Linked DNA regions of Tribolium castaneum. The protein of the gene in region 2 interacts with the protein of the main gene of each other region in a pairwise test. Links are inferred from orthologs where the notes say so. Each region holds a gene or a part of one and is shown on either strand. Other genes may lie near its edges.

The links. The genes of interacting proteins can lie anywhere in the genome.
Region 1: the proteins of PAN3 (region 2) and CycK interact in a two-hybrid assay, tested with the Drosophila melanogaster proteins (3 studies listed by BioGRID). The link is inferred for Tribolium castaneum from reciprocal best matches to the Drosophila melanogaster genes PAN3 and CycK.

Annotation. Positions count from the first base shown.
Region 1 is NC_087397.1:5,734,401-5,742,058, reverse strand, and holds CycK (cyclin-K), read right to left. Parts: upstream 4,704-7,658; 5' UTR 4,546-4,703; intron 4,496-4,545; 5' UTR 4,473-4,495; coding exon 4,376-4,472; intron 4,328-4,375; coding exon 4,068-4,327; intron 4,019-4,067; coding exon 3,239-4,018; 3' UTR 3,138-3,238; downstream 1-3,137. Other genes in the region: Pez (tyrosine-protein phosphatase non-receptor type 21), read left to right, coding at 259-477, 532-714, 761-1,087, 1,136-1,264; BRISC complex subunit Abraxas 2, read left to right, coding at 2,043-2,126, 2,174-3,097; uncharacterized protein LOC100141942, read left to right, coding at 6,760-6,849.
Region 2 is NC_087394.1:25,731,703-25,740,230, reverse strand, and holds the start of PAN3 (PAN2-PAN3 deadenylation complex subunit PAN3), read right to left. Parts: upstream 5,416-8,528; 5' UTR 5,398-5,415; exon of another isoform or gene 5,323-5,397; intron 5,159-5,322; 5' UTR 5,083-5,158; intron 5,032-5,082; 5' UTR 5,024-5,031; coding exon 4,949-5,023; intron 4,903-4,948; coding exon 4,779-4,902; intron 4,677-4,778; coding exon 4,513-4,676; intron 4,463-4,512; coding exon 4,225-4,462; intron 1,978-4,224; coding exon 1,825-1,977; intron 1,781-1,824; coding exon 1,664-1,780; intron 1,618-1,663; coding exon 1,393-1,617; intron 1,344-1,392; coding exon 1,058-1,343; intron 1,006-1,057; coding exon 814-1,005; intron 729-813; coding exon 566-728; intron 1-565. Other genes in the region: FAD synthase, read right to left, coding at 5,609-5,875, 5,923-6,273, 6,438-7,199; ldbr (lariat debranching enzyme), read left to right, coding at 7,552-7,748, 7,795-7,946, 7,990-8,230, 8,341-8,528. UniProt on the Drosophila melanogaster protein: Regulatory subunit of the poly(A)-nuclease (PAN) deadenylation complex, one of two cytoplasmic mRNA deadenylases involved in general and miRNA-mediated mRNA turnover.

The DNA of each region.
Region 1 (7,658 bases), on a different chromosome or scaffold from region 2:
CAGATACAAAAATATTTATTTTTTTAATTTAAAAACTATTAAGATGTTGGCAATTTTTTTAACACCAGTCGATTTCCCAGATCATTCTGCGTAAGCTGACTAATTTACTTTTTTAAATAGTTTTGGAGTTCAAAAATATAATTGGTTTGTCACACAGCCTAAGTCAATCGAAACACGTGTTGTGTTTTTATGCCTTGTTCTTAATTCCTCTCAGAATAAGTGAAAATTTCCATGCCTCAATATTATTCGATTTCGCAGTGCCAGCTGCTCGAGAACAAATTGGCCGACAGTCAGCTGTTTTTCGAGTTCGATAAAATCCCGAAAAAGAAGCAAAACGCGGATTTCACGACGGCCTGTCACCGCGAAAACGCCCAATTCAACCGCTTCAAAGACGTCCTTCCATACGAAGACAACAGATTACGCCTCACACCAAGCAAGAACAACAAATTTGGTTACATAAACGCCTCTCACATCACGGTAAGCCCACGAATCGACTCATTATTTTTTTGTACGCATTTGATTTAATCTCAGGCGACAGTCGGCAGCAAACAGAGGTTTTATATCGCCGCTCAAGGGCCGAATCGTGTTATTTTACCGTATTTTTGGCAATGCGTGTGGGAAGCGGAGGTTTATCTCATTGTCCAGTTGACGGACAGTACCGAAGACTTGCATTACATGCCAGACGATGGCGAGAGATGTATTGATATTGGACAAGTATGTAAGGTAGCGAGTGAATCGCTGATTAACCAACGAGTTTTAGGAGTTTCAGGTTTGGTGGCAGTTTTCGCAAAATTCGGGCAATTGTGTTACGAGTAAAGTGCGCTTATGCCACGTGACGTCTCGGAGATACCGCACTTTGTGGCACATGCACTACACGGACTGGGGGGATCAGGGGTGTCCCCATTCGGTGCCCCATTTTTTGGGCTTCCTTGAGGAAATGCAGTCGGTGCATCAGCACTCAATGGGTGAAATACCACCCGGGCATAATAAAAATCCCCCAATTTTGGTGCACTGCACGGCTGGGGTGGGCAGGACCGGACTGACGATTTTAAGTGATCTTTTGTTGTACACAGTTGACCATAATCAAGTGAGTTGGAGTGTGGTATTTTCGTTGGTTTATTTTTCCCACTTTTAGGAGGTTTGTGTGCCGAGAGTCGTGGAATTGTTGCGGCATCAAAGAGCGTACATGATACAAACGATTGCCCAATATAGATTTGTTTATTCGCTGTTAATACATTATTTGAAACAGACGCGTCTTATTTAGCACTTTGTGGTTTGCTGTGTTCATTGTTTGTAGTGATTAAGTTGCAATTTTTGTCCAAAAAAAGCTAATCATGTAATCTTGATTTTTGGTAGAATTCGTGTTTTAAACTCAAATAGTATTTATTAAAGTCTGATTATTTGTAATGTTTACCACTTTAGATTTTTTTATTTATGTAATTCGATCATTTTTTAAAATACGTATTGTATAATCTCATCTGCTTCTCTCCAATTATCAAATTATAATAATGGCTGTGTATATAATTAAATATTTTAACTTTTTGCGAGCAATAAACATATTTATTGTGATTGTCAACAGTGCCTTAACCTAAGTATGTAAATTTTGTTATGTATATACAATTTTAAAATAAAATAATTAATAAAAACTAACTGGGAAGTTTTCTTTAAGGCGGCTTGTACAGTCCTCGGTGCACTTCTGCTATGATAATAAAAGTAGCAATCCTAATAATTTTAAATAAACCGCTCGTTATGGATAGAAAGTATGCTTGCGACTTAATGTGCGAGAAGTCCTAAACGGCCTTTTACTATTGATTTTTAGACGTTCTTTTAATTTAAATAAACATAATAAAGAAGATACTTTACCTACTTTAAAATTATTGGTTAAGTGGTAATTAACGCTAACGCTTTTGCGTTCTCGGAAGACTTTATGCACATAGCACCCTACGAACATCGGAGGTTTAAATATAACCTCTAAATTTGTTTTTTATCACAGTGTTTATTAAATAAAAAATATTAGTTTGTGTTAGATTTAACACATTAAAATGACTGAGACGCTTTCACTGATTTTTTCGGGCCCCGCATTTTCATTCCTCCTGCGTGACAATACGAAGAGTGAATATTGTCAAGTAAATTTATTGAATGCCTCTACAAATTAATAAAAATCGACTTCCAGGTGGGGTTTTTGTTAGGCGAACTCGTCGAGAAGGAGACAAAAACAATCACCGATAACGACTTGAGACAAGTCCACATTTCGCGAGAAATCCGTTTCAATGGGTCCCTCTCCTGGCCTGAACCTTTCTACTTTCACAACCAAGCTGGTAAATTACCAGTGGAAAAAATCAAGAGTTTTCTTGGCGATTTAACCCCGCGTGTCTTGGGGTGGTACAGGTACAAACCTGCATCTGGCTTTGATTTCACATTTCGCGACCGTATTTTGCACAAGCAGTTTATTGATCTATTCAGCGCGCCTCCAGAGTTCTTTACTTGTTGCCTGTTGATTAAGGAAAGCTCTGAGAATAGGTCTACGCATTCGTGGAGACAGACTTTTGTGCGTTATCGTAATAATGAGTTGGAATATTTGCGCTTCCGCATTGAGAATTTGAGTGATCCTAACAATACATACAAAACCCCCAACCCCGTATCCCAAACTTTCGTGAAGATTATTAGTGAAGTGAAAAGTGAGGTGGAGGACTCTTCAGGGAATAGTATGATATCAAGGGTTCAAAACGCTGTACAGAAACATACGTCAGGTCTCATTGACCAGCTAGCTGAAGCTGAAAAGCGACTATTTGAGTTGGAAAAAGAACATAAAAGGCTGAAAGCACAGCGAGACAGAATGTTGGAGGCCCAAGCCAACGATAAAGGGACAGATGGATGCGTAAATATGGGCCCTGAACCAACCAACACCACTGGAAATTTAAAAGAAACACCGAAAGGCACAGAGCAGAATAATACCAACTTGAGTGATTCCCCAAAAGGGGCAAGAGGTAGAGGTGGAAGAAGCAATACCGGCGCCCCAGGTAAACGTGGAAGAAGGCCTGGCAACACCCCAGAAAAGGGATGCCACGAAATGATAACGAGACATAAGAAAAGCTAAGGAACTAATTGTTGTGCATTCTTCTAATTTAAACACCAAATTTATTGAAACAATGTATTTCACTAATTTTGTTGCGCATTTTTTTACAATAAACACTAAATATATTAAACCAGTCTTTCACTTAATTTAAACCCACAAAACCTAGTAGGGTCTTGGGGGGTGTTGTCCTGGGGGCGGCGTCAACTGATAATACGGCCCAGCCGGTGGCCCCATCGGCGGAAAAGGTGGCGGATGCGTGACATACGGCGGAAAGACAGCCGGTGGAGCATTCAAATGTGGCGGTGGCCCTGGGGGCGGCGCTGCTAAATGTGGTCCTGGCGGAGCCGGGAGCGGTGCTGCGTACGGCGGCGCCGGATAGGCGGCCACTGGGGGCGGGGCTCCCGTGAACGTCTGGTAAGGGTACTGGGGGACGTCCGGAGGCGGCGGAATTTTCGTATTAATGGGAGGTATCATTTCGGGGATTTCGAGTTTTTCCTGGCCATTGGTCGACTTGCGGCTGGCGGTGGTGGGTCTTGGGGGCAGCGGGGGGCTGTCTGGGGCGGGACTAGTGCTGGGTTGCGAGTACAAGTCGAGGACTTGGTGGCAGATGTCTTCGAGGAGGTCCATGGTGATGTCTTCGACGAACATGTCCCACCAGCGGAGGTGTTTGGGCGTGCGCCCCACCCAGTCGACCACCTCGAACTGGCTGAGCTTGCCAGCGAGGTACATGAGGGCCACTGCGATTATTTCGGGTTCCCATTGCAGGGCTAGGGTTGTGCAAAGACTGTCGTTGACGAAAGTCCAAGCCATTTGGACCATTTTTTGCAGTTTGTTTTTGTCGCCTTTTAGGCACTTGGCGTATTTTAACAAGTAGCTGTAAGGGTGCTCGACTTGTAAATCAAACTTGATTGTTTGTAACAGAATGCGTTCCAAAGTCATTACCTAAAATTACAAAATATTACACAACTACAAGGCAAATCAAATTTTTTACTTCTTCTTTCGGATCGTCGCCGAAAGTCGCAAATTTCTGATCTGACAACAACCCACGTGCAGTTTTTATAATGTCTTTGCATTTTTTGGGCGTTTCTTCAACTTTCCCAGCCAGGAATAAGCAACAGCAAGCTGTTACGTACCGGGGAAATTGGCGGAACGAATGGAACATGTAAAAACGGTGAAAATACACAACTCCAGTCGCTGTTGTGTTATAACCGAGGTCCATTTTGGCCCCAGTATTGATAATAAAGCGAGCCCCTTGAAAAAATCGTCAACTTTTACCAAACTACTTTAATAAAAACAAACCTTCTTTGCGGTAACGCATTTCGGTGTCGTAATCAATACCATCCTGGGCCGAGGGTGTATTTCGTAACTCTTTCTTGTCGTAATACCACCCCGTCATTATTGCCAGACAAGGGGGCTGCGCTGTTTTACAACATCAAGTAAAACCGAAAAGTAGCATTGGAAACGCTTACCCCAAACTGTTTAATCACTTGATAAGGTTAAAGCAAGCGTTCCAAATCAGAACCACACAATCACAAATAAACCACATATATAAATTAACCTCGAAAACGTTTGCTGTCAAATTAACTGATGGACAACAGCTCCCCCCATGGTAGGGGTATGAAAAGCAGTAAAAGAAGCGACGTTATTGGTCGATTAAAAATAGTTTTTGGCCCCATTGTAAGATAGCGCATAAGTAGCAATCAGTAGGCAACACACATTACTGCGACCAACAGTATTTGAAAATAAGCAAAATAAAAGCCTCTAAAGATTAAATTTTTAAACTCTCTAATTTTATCAAAAGATGCCGGGCGTATAAGTTGATTTTACAACTGTTTGAAGTTATGTTTTACGTTTACGTTTATCTCTTTTTCTCTCAAAACAAAAGGTATTTTTCTTTTATAAGGATGTGCTCTTACGTTTACAATTTGGCGCCTTTACGTACTTTTATCTTTTGCCGCATTATTCTCTTAATTCTGTTTATGCTCTGCTTTACGTTTGTGTTTTCTCAATCTCTTATTTTTGTTTATTTCTTATTTCACCTACCTTTTCTACACTTTTTTTTCATAGAAAATTTTTTACACCTGATCCGGGTTCGAACCCCCGACCTCCCCCGTCGTAAGTGGTGCTTATACCACTGGGCCATCAGGGCCCCACGTACTGACCAACCTTTGCAGATATTTTAACACAAACTTTTTGAATAAATCTACATTACAAACTATATAATTGCAATAATTCACCTAAAACGCAAATACATTCAGTTCAAAAGTCGGCGAATTAGCTCGAGAAAACATTATCTTCCACTTTTTTTTAATTTAATTCTCTAATTTTTCACTAGATTTAAGATGTGCTCTTACGTTTACAATTTGACGCCTTTACGTACTTTTACCTTTTGCCAAAGGCAACCTTATCGCGCACCCAAGAAAATCGCGACTTCTAAGGAAATGAAAACTCTAAAATTTTGAAAAGGACCATTCTCGATTTAAAAAAAAATTGTTAATAAATAAAGTCGTGGCAGTTTCGTGAGTTTTTGGGTACTTACTAACTGTTAATTTGACTACAAAGTTTTTAGATTAAGTGAACACCATCAAAGAGGCTGGTTAAAAAATTATTTTGGGTCTACTGATAAATTAATAAAAAGCTGTGTTTTTGCCTGGGACAGTCGAGCTGTATAGGGTGTTGTCTATGCGAGGTCGCATGCGCCCCACATTCACATTGCGTATTCTCGATGGTCCTCAATGGGATGGGAATGGGAAGTTAGGTTGGGAATTATGTTCAATGCACTTGTAATGAAACGTTTTTGCCATTTACGTGCAGTCGGTGGAATGTGTGCGGTCACGGAGGTGTAACACCTGTGTTACAACACTTGTCGCTTATCTCATTCACCTTAAAACAAACTGTGTAGTGTGCACAGAGATAGTGCTCAAATTAAATTTAAAAACATTCATCAGTTTTCTTAGTATGTGAATATGCATATTCGAAGTTGCTTTCATTTTCTGAAAGGTAAAAATTTAATTTAGTTTTTTAAATGATTCAAGTAGTGCAAAATCGCACTGTGTTTTCTTTGGCATGTTCGCGTAGGCGTGAGTGACCTTTACAAATCCGGAATGATAAAAATTTGGAATCTCATTCATGTGACTGAACTAATCAAAGACCTGACCTTCAGGCGCCAAGGAGATTCCAGGTTTTTACTATGCGCATACATTATCCTTAAGGACGATAAATGAAAGAGCAGAATTTTCCAGCATCTGCATTAGGAAGTCCGTACGTCAAAGACCGATTTTTTTTACTGTAAGTACAACAGTCTCAATCAGCTTCGGTGATGGGAAAAATCGGCTTTTGTAGACCAGTTTGAAACTTTCATTACCACTTTTGATAATGCATTAGACTTACTTTCTTTTCCAAGAAATGATAAGAATCTTAAAAAGCTGTCTAAACTTGCATTTAATTGATACCATTAACATAGGCAATGGCACAATCGTAAAAACGAGAATGAAAAAGAAAGTGCGAGCAATTTATAACAAGTCCGTCCCAACTGTTATGCTTGGTCAAGGTTCTAATTGTCTTTTACTCCTAATTACTTCATTTCTGCTCTCGAGATTCGCATACTCTTGCCTCATTTGCCCTTTTCCTCTCTCTTACGGTGTTTTCGACAGGTTTCGAGAAACACCCTTGCGTGAACTCTCATGGGGCAATGCATGTCGCGTAAGGCCGCAGGAGCCTTCGCCGCCTCCGCCGCCGCCGCTCGCAGCAAGCCCACCAAAATGCAGCACCAGGTAAGAAAAAAATCGCCGTGTGAAAGTTAACGATCCGAGAGCTTGAGAAAAAACAACAATAGAGAGTGATTAAAATTCTTGTAATTTTTTTAATGACCGCCGACGGCGCATGCCGTCGCGACGCCGCATTGGCCTTCCGCCGCCGATCAATTCTTTGACGCGAATCAAAGATGAATCACTTCTGCATTGTGTTTGGTGTTTAAACGGAAAAATGTCAAATTTGTCGAATCTTCTGATGGACGAATGTCCTCCTGATCTCCAGGTGAGTTACTCGGGGTCAGGTGCTCTAATGAGATGTATCCTGGGTACAGTTACAAGACATTCAGCGCATATTCTTCGAATGTTCCGTTGAAAACGGCCAATCACTTGTATTTATTGTCTTGTAGGTTACAGAACCGAGTCACGATTTTGTGTAAAATGCACGGCGAAAGGTGAAACACTGAAATATTTTTGACTCATTAAATGTACTCGCATCAGTTATTTTTTGAAGGTGTTATTTGCCACAGGACGGTAATTTATGCGGGCGAAAAACTCGCATCAATAGAGGTGAAAGCGGAAGTGGGACATTTTTCAAACCTTTGGCGTTTTTGCATATTGTAATTAATTTAATTATTTCGCGCAGGAAATTATCGGTATGCAAAACGGTGCCTGAAAGATGAATACTGCGTCAGGTGGACGATTGGCTCATGGGAACACATGTCTGATTTGTCGCAATTAAAATTCAAGACCCGTTTCCACATTCACTTACTCACACATAATGGTTTTTTCGTGGCCATTGCAGCTCAGTTTATCCTAATATTCATGGCTCA
Region 2 (8,528 bases):
ACCAATCAAATCACAGCCCTACTGAGGGATCACAGGGGGCTATGGTTGATTGAAACTTCGTTTTTACATGGCCCAAAGCGACAGTTTTAACGGTGGTTACATTAAATTACATTACATTAAATGTGAACAGTTTTTAAATATGTCACCCAACTATCGCCCTTTATTAATTTTTATGTTTATCCATTGAACAATTTCCCGTCTAAAATAACAAGCTAAGCATTTGTTTTAGTGAAATACGTAAATTTTCAATGATGGAAAATCACATATGTATTTCTAAACATTTTTTTACTTTAGATATTTATTTTATTTACGTATTAATTTATTAATAATAATAAGTTAATAAATTTTATAAATATTTTTGGAGGCTAATAATTCCACAAAAAAAAAACGATCAACTTATTTCTACTGCTTAATCTATTGTTAAAATATTTGCACTTTGGTTCAAAGTCATGACTACTTTCTTTAAATTTAAAACGAGTTAAATCGTTTAGGAATATTATTCATATCACTTATTGCATAAAGGCAGTATAAAAATGAAATTCCCTATCCATTAAACCCTTCATACCTTTTCAGGAACACCGGCGTCCAATTTATTTAAACATTGTACTATATGTGCCATATCGACCCAAGGACGGCCATCCTCAGTCACTTGGTGAAAAACGTAATCCCTAAATAATTTGAGCATGTATCGGTCACCGGTCTCGGCCCAAGCACCATCCATATTCAACCTAAACAAAAAAAAAACTATATAGTGCCACTTCAAAACAATAAAAACGCCCTCCTTTATAAATTAAAACAAAAAATAATAATTACTCAGGTCGCTCGTTAATCGTGCCCAACTTGGCCATAAGTCTGAAAAGCCGCCCATTTTCGATCTCTTTCGACAGTTCGTACTCCAGCACTTCGATATAGCTGTGCAAATTGTCCATTTGGGTGTAAAACCTCGCACCGATCATTGGCATCAAGTCCGTGATGCTTTTCCGCTGTTGTGGCGATAACAGATACCTGTAATACCGACTCAAAACTCACGCCAATTCAATTGTTTCAGTCTACTAACATAATCAAATTTCTAAGATCGCTGGTGTACGAACGACTGATGATGTCCACAGCTGTGGATATGTTCTCCCTTTGCACAGCCACCGTCGATTTGCACGCTAAAGCTAAAACTAACTTGCCCAAAGCTGTTAAATCCTCTTGTTGGTAGTGCTGGACTAAGGCTAGGGGATTCACCGATGCGCTGTTTTCGTTCAAAACCACATCCATCACACCCAAACAACTCAATCTTAATCGGTTTTTCGAAGTGATAATTATTTTTGTCGGGTCAAGGCTCCTACAGGCCAGACCTGGATAAAAAAATTTGAAACCAATGTCCTAAAGACAACGCCGCCTCACCTGACGAGTGTATCAAACGCAAGGCGGAAGTGAGCTGAATAATGTAGTTCCAAATCAGAAATTCCGGAAGTTTGTTGTTTTGTTGGTGCCGCAGTATACTGTTCTTCTGGTGGCTGTACGGCCTAGGGGAGGTGTCGGGGGCGAAGGGATCGGGCTGATCGGACGAAAAATACTTACTTAAGAGTGTCTCCGACCCGGGATAATAATCATAAACGAAAATTAACGCTGCAAATAACAATTATTTCAAACCACTTGAAATTCGTAAAAATACAATTGTCTCCAAAGGCCTTAGTCGTGAAGACTTCTTGCAACTGTACAATATTGGAATGATTCAGATTTTTCCACAAGTCGACCACCACCATACACTTGGCGTTTTGGAGACGAAATCCTAGACCAAAACTTAGAGACGGTATTACAGATCGCTGTACTCACCATGCAGCCGTCTCAAGCAATACGGTGTCCCGGTTTTAGTATGAATCGCTTTGTACATGGACGCTTGGTACCCCAAATGGGTCTTATGAAGCGAATTGCTCGGGATGCGTTCAAGGGGGCACAACTCGTGGTAGTTCTCCACTTGCGGCAGGTCTGAAAATTTAAAAAAATCGCCCAAGTGTTTATAAAAATGTGCTGTAACTATGGTAATAAAACGTAGTGGTCACACAAATCAATGGCGGGTGTTATTGCATGGCCAACTTATATCAATTTGCGCTTTGATCCATTAAGGCCGTAACACAACAAAAACAAAAAATCCGTTGACTGATTCTCCTAACATAAAAGTATTACTCTCCGTAACTAGCTCCATATGCACGGAAAAATTTAAACTAAAATAAAGTTAATAAATTATCTAGCCAATTACAGTCGTTAAGAAATATGAATGTTTAAATGACATCTTAAACTGATAATTTAAATTTGTCAGAGAAATCACGAACAGAAGTGAATAATCGCAAAAATTAAAGTATAATTCGATAATAATTATACAACATGTATACAAAATAGTGCATAAGATCTCTGGTATGTTTTAAAAGTCGTTTAAGGAACCCTCTAAAAAAAAAGTACAAAGTGGTCTACAACTCACGAAAGCTGTATGTAGTTAAGACAATTCTGAAGCTAAACTTGTCACTAGATTCCAATTTAATACAGAATCACACGGAAATACAGAAAGTTTAAATTTGTGACCTATTTGACCTTAAAAAATCTAAGTAGGCTGTTGCCATTTTTTTATAGTTTTGAAACACCCAGTACTTGAGTCTTTTCACCGAATCTATTTCAATTGTTGTACAGTAGTTACCAGTTGCAACTATGGATTTTATTTAACTATTACCAGATGATATTTTTAGTTTTCTGGTCCTTTTCTTGGTTATATCGCCGATTAAAAAAATTTTAAAAATTAAAAGAAAAAATTCCCCTCTTTGCTTTTTTAATGCTGTTATGAATAATCTAGAGAATTTTTATTATCTTTCTAGATTTTGTTGGAATATGTGCTATAGCGTACTGAATATCTCTTGTGTACACCCCTGTACAGTAAAATATTGTCTACCATATAAGAGACCAAAAACATTCAAATAGAAACACTAAAATTGAATAGTGTTGTAGGAAAATTATTATTCAATATTTGCAGGTACACATTCCTTTGAGACTAATATCTTGATCAAAAGAGAGAAAAATATTCTAGAAATGAAATTTGGACATGAATATGGAACGTTATTTTAATATAAGTTTTGAATTAACGTATTAACATATACCACATACGAGTAAAAACTGATTAGTTGAATTTTCATGTTTCTTGATGTTTAGAAAAAATGCAAATTATATAAAGTTGTAACAAATTACAAAAATGAACATGTTTTTTAAGAAACTTTAAACGATTTTTAGCCTTTGCTGAAATCTGACAAATTAATTTGAAGACATTGAAAGACACATTAGGAACACAAGTCGTCCTGTTGATACATTTCAAAAAATTGCATGTAAAATAAAGCTGATTTGCTTTATTATTATTTTTTATTATTATTGCTTTTTGTTAAAAAAAGATAACATTAATTACTAGGAAACAAAATCACTGGAGTCTAACTCGAAATTCCATTTATTCCTAATTTATTTTTTATAACGATCTGGAGGGGAGAAAAATTATAGGAAATCCTGACAAAATCACGGAAAATCATCAGGGATTTTTGAGGAAATCAGAAGAAACCAGAGCAAATCGCCAAAAATCAATATAAAAAAACAAAAAAAATTAGAAGAATCGTGAGGAAATGACGGGACATCCTTTCAAAAATTAGGGGAAATCTTGAGAAAAGGCGAAAAATTATAAAAACATTCAAGGAAAATCTTAAGGAAATGACAAAAAAACAGTATTTTAAAATATTAGGAGAAATCTTAACCAAATTAAGAGAATTTAGAGAAAATATTGAGAAAAATATTTTTTAAAAATCAGGAGAAATTTTGAAGGAAATATCAAAGGAAATTTTGGGGAAAATCTAGTAAACAAAACCTCTCGTTTGTGAGTAATGTTTCAGTGAAGGTTTATTGGTTTATGAGCGTTTTCGAGCCTAATAATAACCATCGTAGGTGAAAGATAATTATGAGAAAAGATAGCTAGTATAAGATTAGGCCTATTAACGACTTAAAAAACCGAACATAAAAATAATAGCTTTTTTACTTGCAAAACAATTTATAAAATCAATCTACTACTTGCTTCGTATGTTAATGAAGATATGGCGCCTCATAAGAATTTTTAGGTTGGGAGAATTGGAAACGAAAGATGTGATAATGGAGCTCATCGACAATTGATGTTAGTTGGCCATGAATAAAACAACGGTCGGTAAAAACAATCACCTGCGTACTGCTGATTGGCCTGCATGAGCGTCAAGGCGTTGCGATTCATCAGCTCCATCTGGAGGTCCTTTGATATGAAAAACGAGGCGCCCTGCTTGGCCTTAAGTGAAGTGATGTGGTTAGGGGTGCCTGGGTACACATTGTAGTCCGAGGTGAGGTTGCTATTGACAGCAACATCAGTGGCGTGACAAGTTTCCGAGGTGGTTGGGTAAAAGTACGTTGTCCCGCCCACATTTTCCTAAAAGCACGCGGACCCTGTATTACCGGCTTTCGGTTGGTCTGGAGTACCTGATATGCCGCAACAGCTATGTTATTTACATCTGACATGGGTGAACAGCTGCTGACGCGATTGGGTGAAGCTGATTGACTGGAATTTTCTGGGTGGTCAGAAACGCATCGAATGGGCGAAGGGTCTAGCGTTGGGGTGAAAGAGTTGAAAATGTTGGGTGAAGCTGAAAACAAATGATTAGATTAGGAGAGGTCAATGGGTCCAAGAGCGTCATGGAAAAAAGAAAACAGTTGGGGTTTCAAGGCCACCAGCTGTTACACAATACCTGGAGCACTGGACACCAGACTTGTCCCTCCAACACATTGGGGACTCGTTAGTGGTTTTTTCGGTTCGATACTCAACTTGCTTTGGAACGACTGGTGCAAACTACCACTCGAATTTTGAATGTTCTACAAACGAAAATCCCGTAACTGAAACGTTACGTAAACACCTTACCATGTAATTTGCTAGTTTAGATTCCTGGGGAACCCCATTCGTTTGTGCGAACCGGTAATAAACCTGATGATCCATTAAATTCCCTGAAACAAAGAGACGTTACAATATTGTAACCCCTCAACGACCCCGCTCACAATTCTAGTAAAAACCATGCGATGGAAACATTTTAGTCGAGAAACCTGAACGCGCACAAAACCCCCTTTCTGAAAACTGAAATTAATTATTTCTATTTACTTCTGACACCTGAAAATTTGCTGAAAATAATCGCCATTTTGTTTGTGTTGATTTGACTTGTCGGCGATGTAAAAAATTAATTGTTGCCAATTTTGCCAAAAACACACTATGTGACCAAGGGCGCAAAAAGGTACAAATACCTGCGAGACCGTGCAAAAGATAACGATAATAATCGGAAAATAAAAAACAAATATGATAGTGCTAACACAACGCACCTTTTGTCAGGTTGGTAGATTGCAAGTTGGCAGCGCTGACCGGAGCCAATTTTAAATTAAAACAACCAATAAAACACAATTTCACATTTTTATTAAACAACATTAATAAACTCTACAGAACCAACATATACAATAAATAATAAAGTACGATCTATGTATTTTGCTACATTTCCACCCCCAGAAATAAATTCAGCTAGTTTTTCCCCGAAAATCAACTCGTATTCCGTCCATTGCGCTCCTTAACCTCTTTCAGTAATTTATAAGCCGGTAAGTAAAATTCGCCCTCGTCAAACGGCTCGTAGCACTTAAGAGAGGGATTCCGATTCGTATTTACGGTGTTCCCCAACGAGGTGAACCCCAAATCGTACAATTTACAGTACGGTACTTTATAGAAGAGTAAATAATCCCAAATATCGGAATAATGCCAGTCCAGGACCGGACTAACTCTGAGTATTTGAGGCCAATTGGAATCAGTCATCTGTAACCAAATTCTCAAAAACACCTTCAAAACTTGACGAAAAATACCTGAAAAACTGTCAAATCGCCTGAGTACGGATCTGTTCGTCTCGTCCCCATAAAGCATGCCTTGAAATTTGGATATTTTTCCAGAGTTTGGCCCAAAGCATCCTTGATTCCCGCGTTAATGACCATTATTTTCAAATTATAGTAGCATTTGCACAAGTCAATAAACTCGTCTTGCTCGGGAAAGGGACTTTCACTTTGGACGTAAAGACAGGGAATTGGTTGTGAATGTTGAGGAAATTTTTTCTTGACGACTGTTAAAACCAAATGGAGCAAAACGGTGCAGTCTTTTCCGCCGTTGAAACTCACGAAGATATTCTCTAAACCGTACTGTTGCAAACACTCTTCAATGTTCTGGAAAAAACAAAATTATTTGACGAGTCGCACATGGCTCCTCCAGTTGCCATAGAAACGTGCTGTAACTATGGTAATACAGCAGGACATGAATGGGGATTGTCATGGTGACAACTACGATGAGTCAAACCAGTGGCGGGTACACTGTCTTACCTCTTACTTACTTCAATTGCATGTTTGATGTGTGTTTCATTGCTGGAGTACACGTGTTCCCACACGTCTGAATTATCGATAAATTTTAAATTATAATTTTGAAACCTGTCACTGATTTTCCTCTCAAATTCCACCATTTCGCGCAATTCTGGACTCGACACTTTGAAAGTGTAACACTTATCAGTTTTGCTAAATTCCAGTTGGAGACCATTGGTTTTAAATTCATTTAAATCAATTGTCAAGTTTCCGTTTTTAACGATTTCGATTATTTTTTGCAAGTTTCTCTCTTTCCTATACTTCAATAAATGATTCTTTAAAACTTTGGTGAAACTCTGTTTCAGAAACTTCTCCTTCAATATAAAAATCCTCTGGAAGTAAACGACGGGATAACTGTGTCCCGAATGCAAAATTTTAGCTTGCCGCGGCAATAAGGTCTCAGTTTTGTTCGAATTCTCGCCAATCTCTGCGAGTATTCGAGTTAGGTCATCACTAGTTTCAAGTTCTTGTGAGGTCATTTTGCCAAGTGCTCTGTAAATAACCCCGCATCGCTCACCAACGGCTATTATCATGTCGAAAGACCTCATTAGTGCATGAAGTTCGTTAAAAATCACATCTTCTCTTTCACTGATTGTCGAGACTTTGCCCACACTATAGTCCAAACAGGCCAGTTCCTTGATCAGATATTTGCTAGTATTGTCGGTTTTTTCGCCGGAAAGAACCTCGTCACTAATTACGACGATACCGACGGTCTTCAACGACATTTTTCGCCTCATGACACACAACAGTTTCTCGCAAACGCAACACTTTCACATTACGGTTTTTCAACTTTGACACTGACTTTTTATAGGTTAGGTTGGAAATTTGGCCCCCACTTTGTACACATTAAGCGAATAACGGTAAATGAAAAAACAATTATTTTATTTAACAAGTTTTTTTTTATACATATTTAATCATTGAGATTACAACAGCGTATAATATGTATACTTTTGTTTGTGTGTTTAACGCACAATTAATTATTTTTGTTAGTGTTTTCTTATATCAGATTTCCCATCTGCCGACTTTCCCTCACCTTGGACTTGTCAAACATTTTTTTAACCAACAATTTTTTTTGAAAATTATTTTGAGATGAAAATTGCGGTCGAAGGTTGTGCCCACGGCGAATTGGAAATAATTTACGACACTCTGCAATATTTGGAAGAGAAGGAAGGCTTTAAAATCGATTTGCTCATTTGTTGTGGCGACTTTCAAGCTTCTCGCAATGAAGCGGACCTCCGGTGCATGGCGGTGCCCCCTAAATACTACAACATTTGTTCATTTTACAAGTAATCAAAGTTCGTCCATTTCGTTGCGTTAATAACCAAATTTCAGGTATTACACCGGGATTAAAACAGCCCCAATTCTCACGATTTTTATTGGGGGCAACCACGAAGCGTCCAATTATCTGCAAGAGTTGCCATATGGGGGCTGGGTGGCCCCGAACATCTACTACTTGGGTTATGCCGGAGTGGTCAATATTGCAGGTTAAAATCGCTACTTTGTCTTCTTTAATTAATATTTGTTCAGGTTTAAGAATTGGGGGCATTTCGGGGATTTACAAAGGACAGGATTACATGAAAGGTCACTTTGAGCATTCGCCTTACAGCGATAGTTCAAAACGCAGCGTTTATCACATCAGAAATTTGGAAGTTTTTCGGTTGAAACAACTGTCTCAACCTTTGGATATTTTTTTATCACATGATTGGCCCTCGGGGATCTGGCAATATGGAAATGCGGCGCAATTAATACGTTTTAAACCTTTTTTCGAGTAATTCACAGTAACGGAAGTTTCCCTGTGTTTCTGAAGACATGGCACCAGGGAAATTTTCTTTATTAATCAAGATTTCCCCGAATTTGTGATTATTATCAATTTTTTAGAGAAGATATCAGCAGAGGACAACTGGGTAGCAAACCAACCGAAGAATTGCTAAATCATTTGAAGCCAGATTATTGGTTTTCGGCTCATTTGCACTGTAAATTTGCCGCAGTGGTGCCACACGAGTGTGGCAAAATCACCAAATTTCTTGCACTAGATAAGTGCCTTCCTAAAAGAAGGTTTCTGCAAG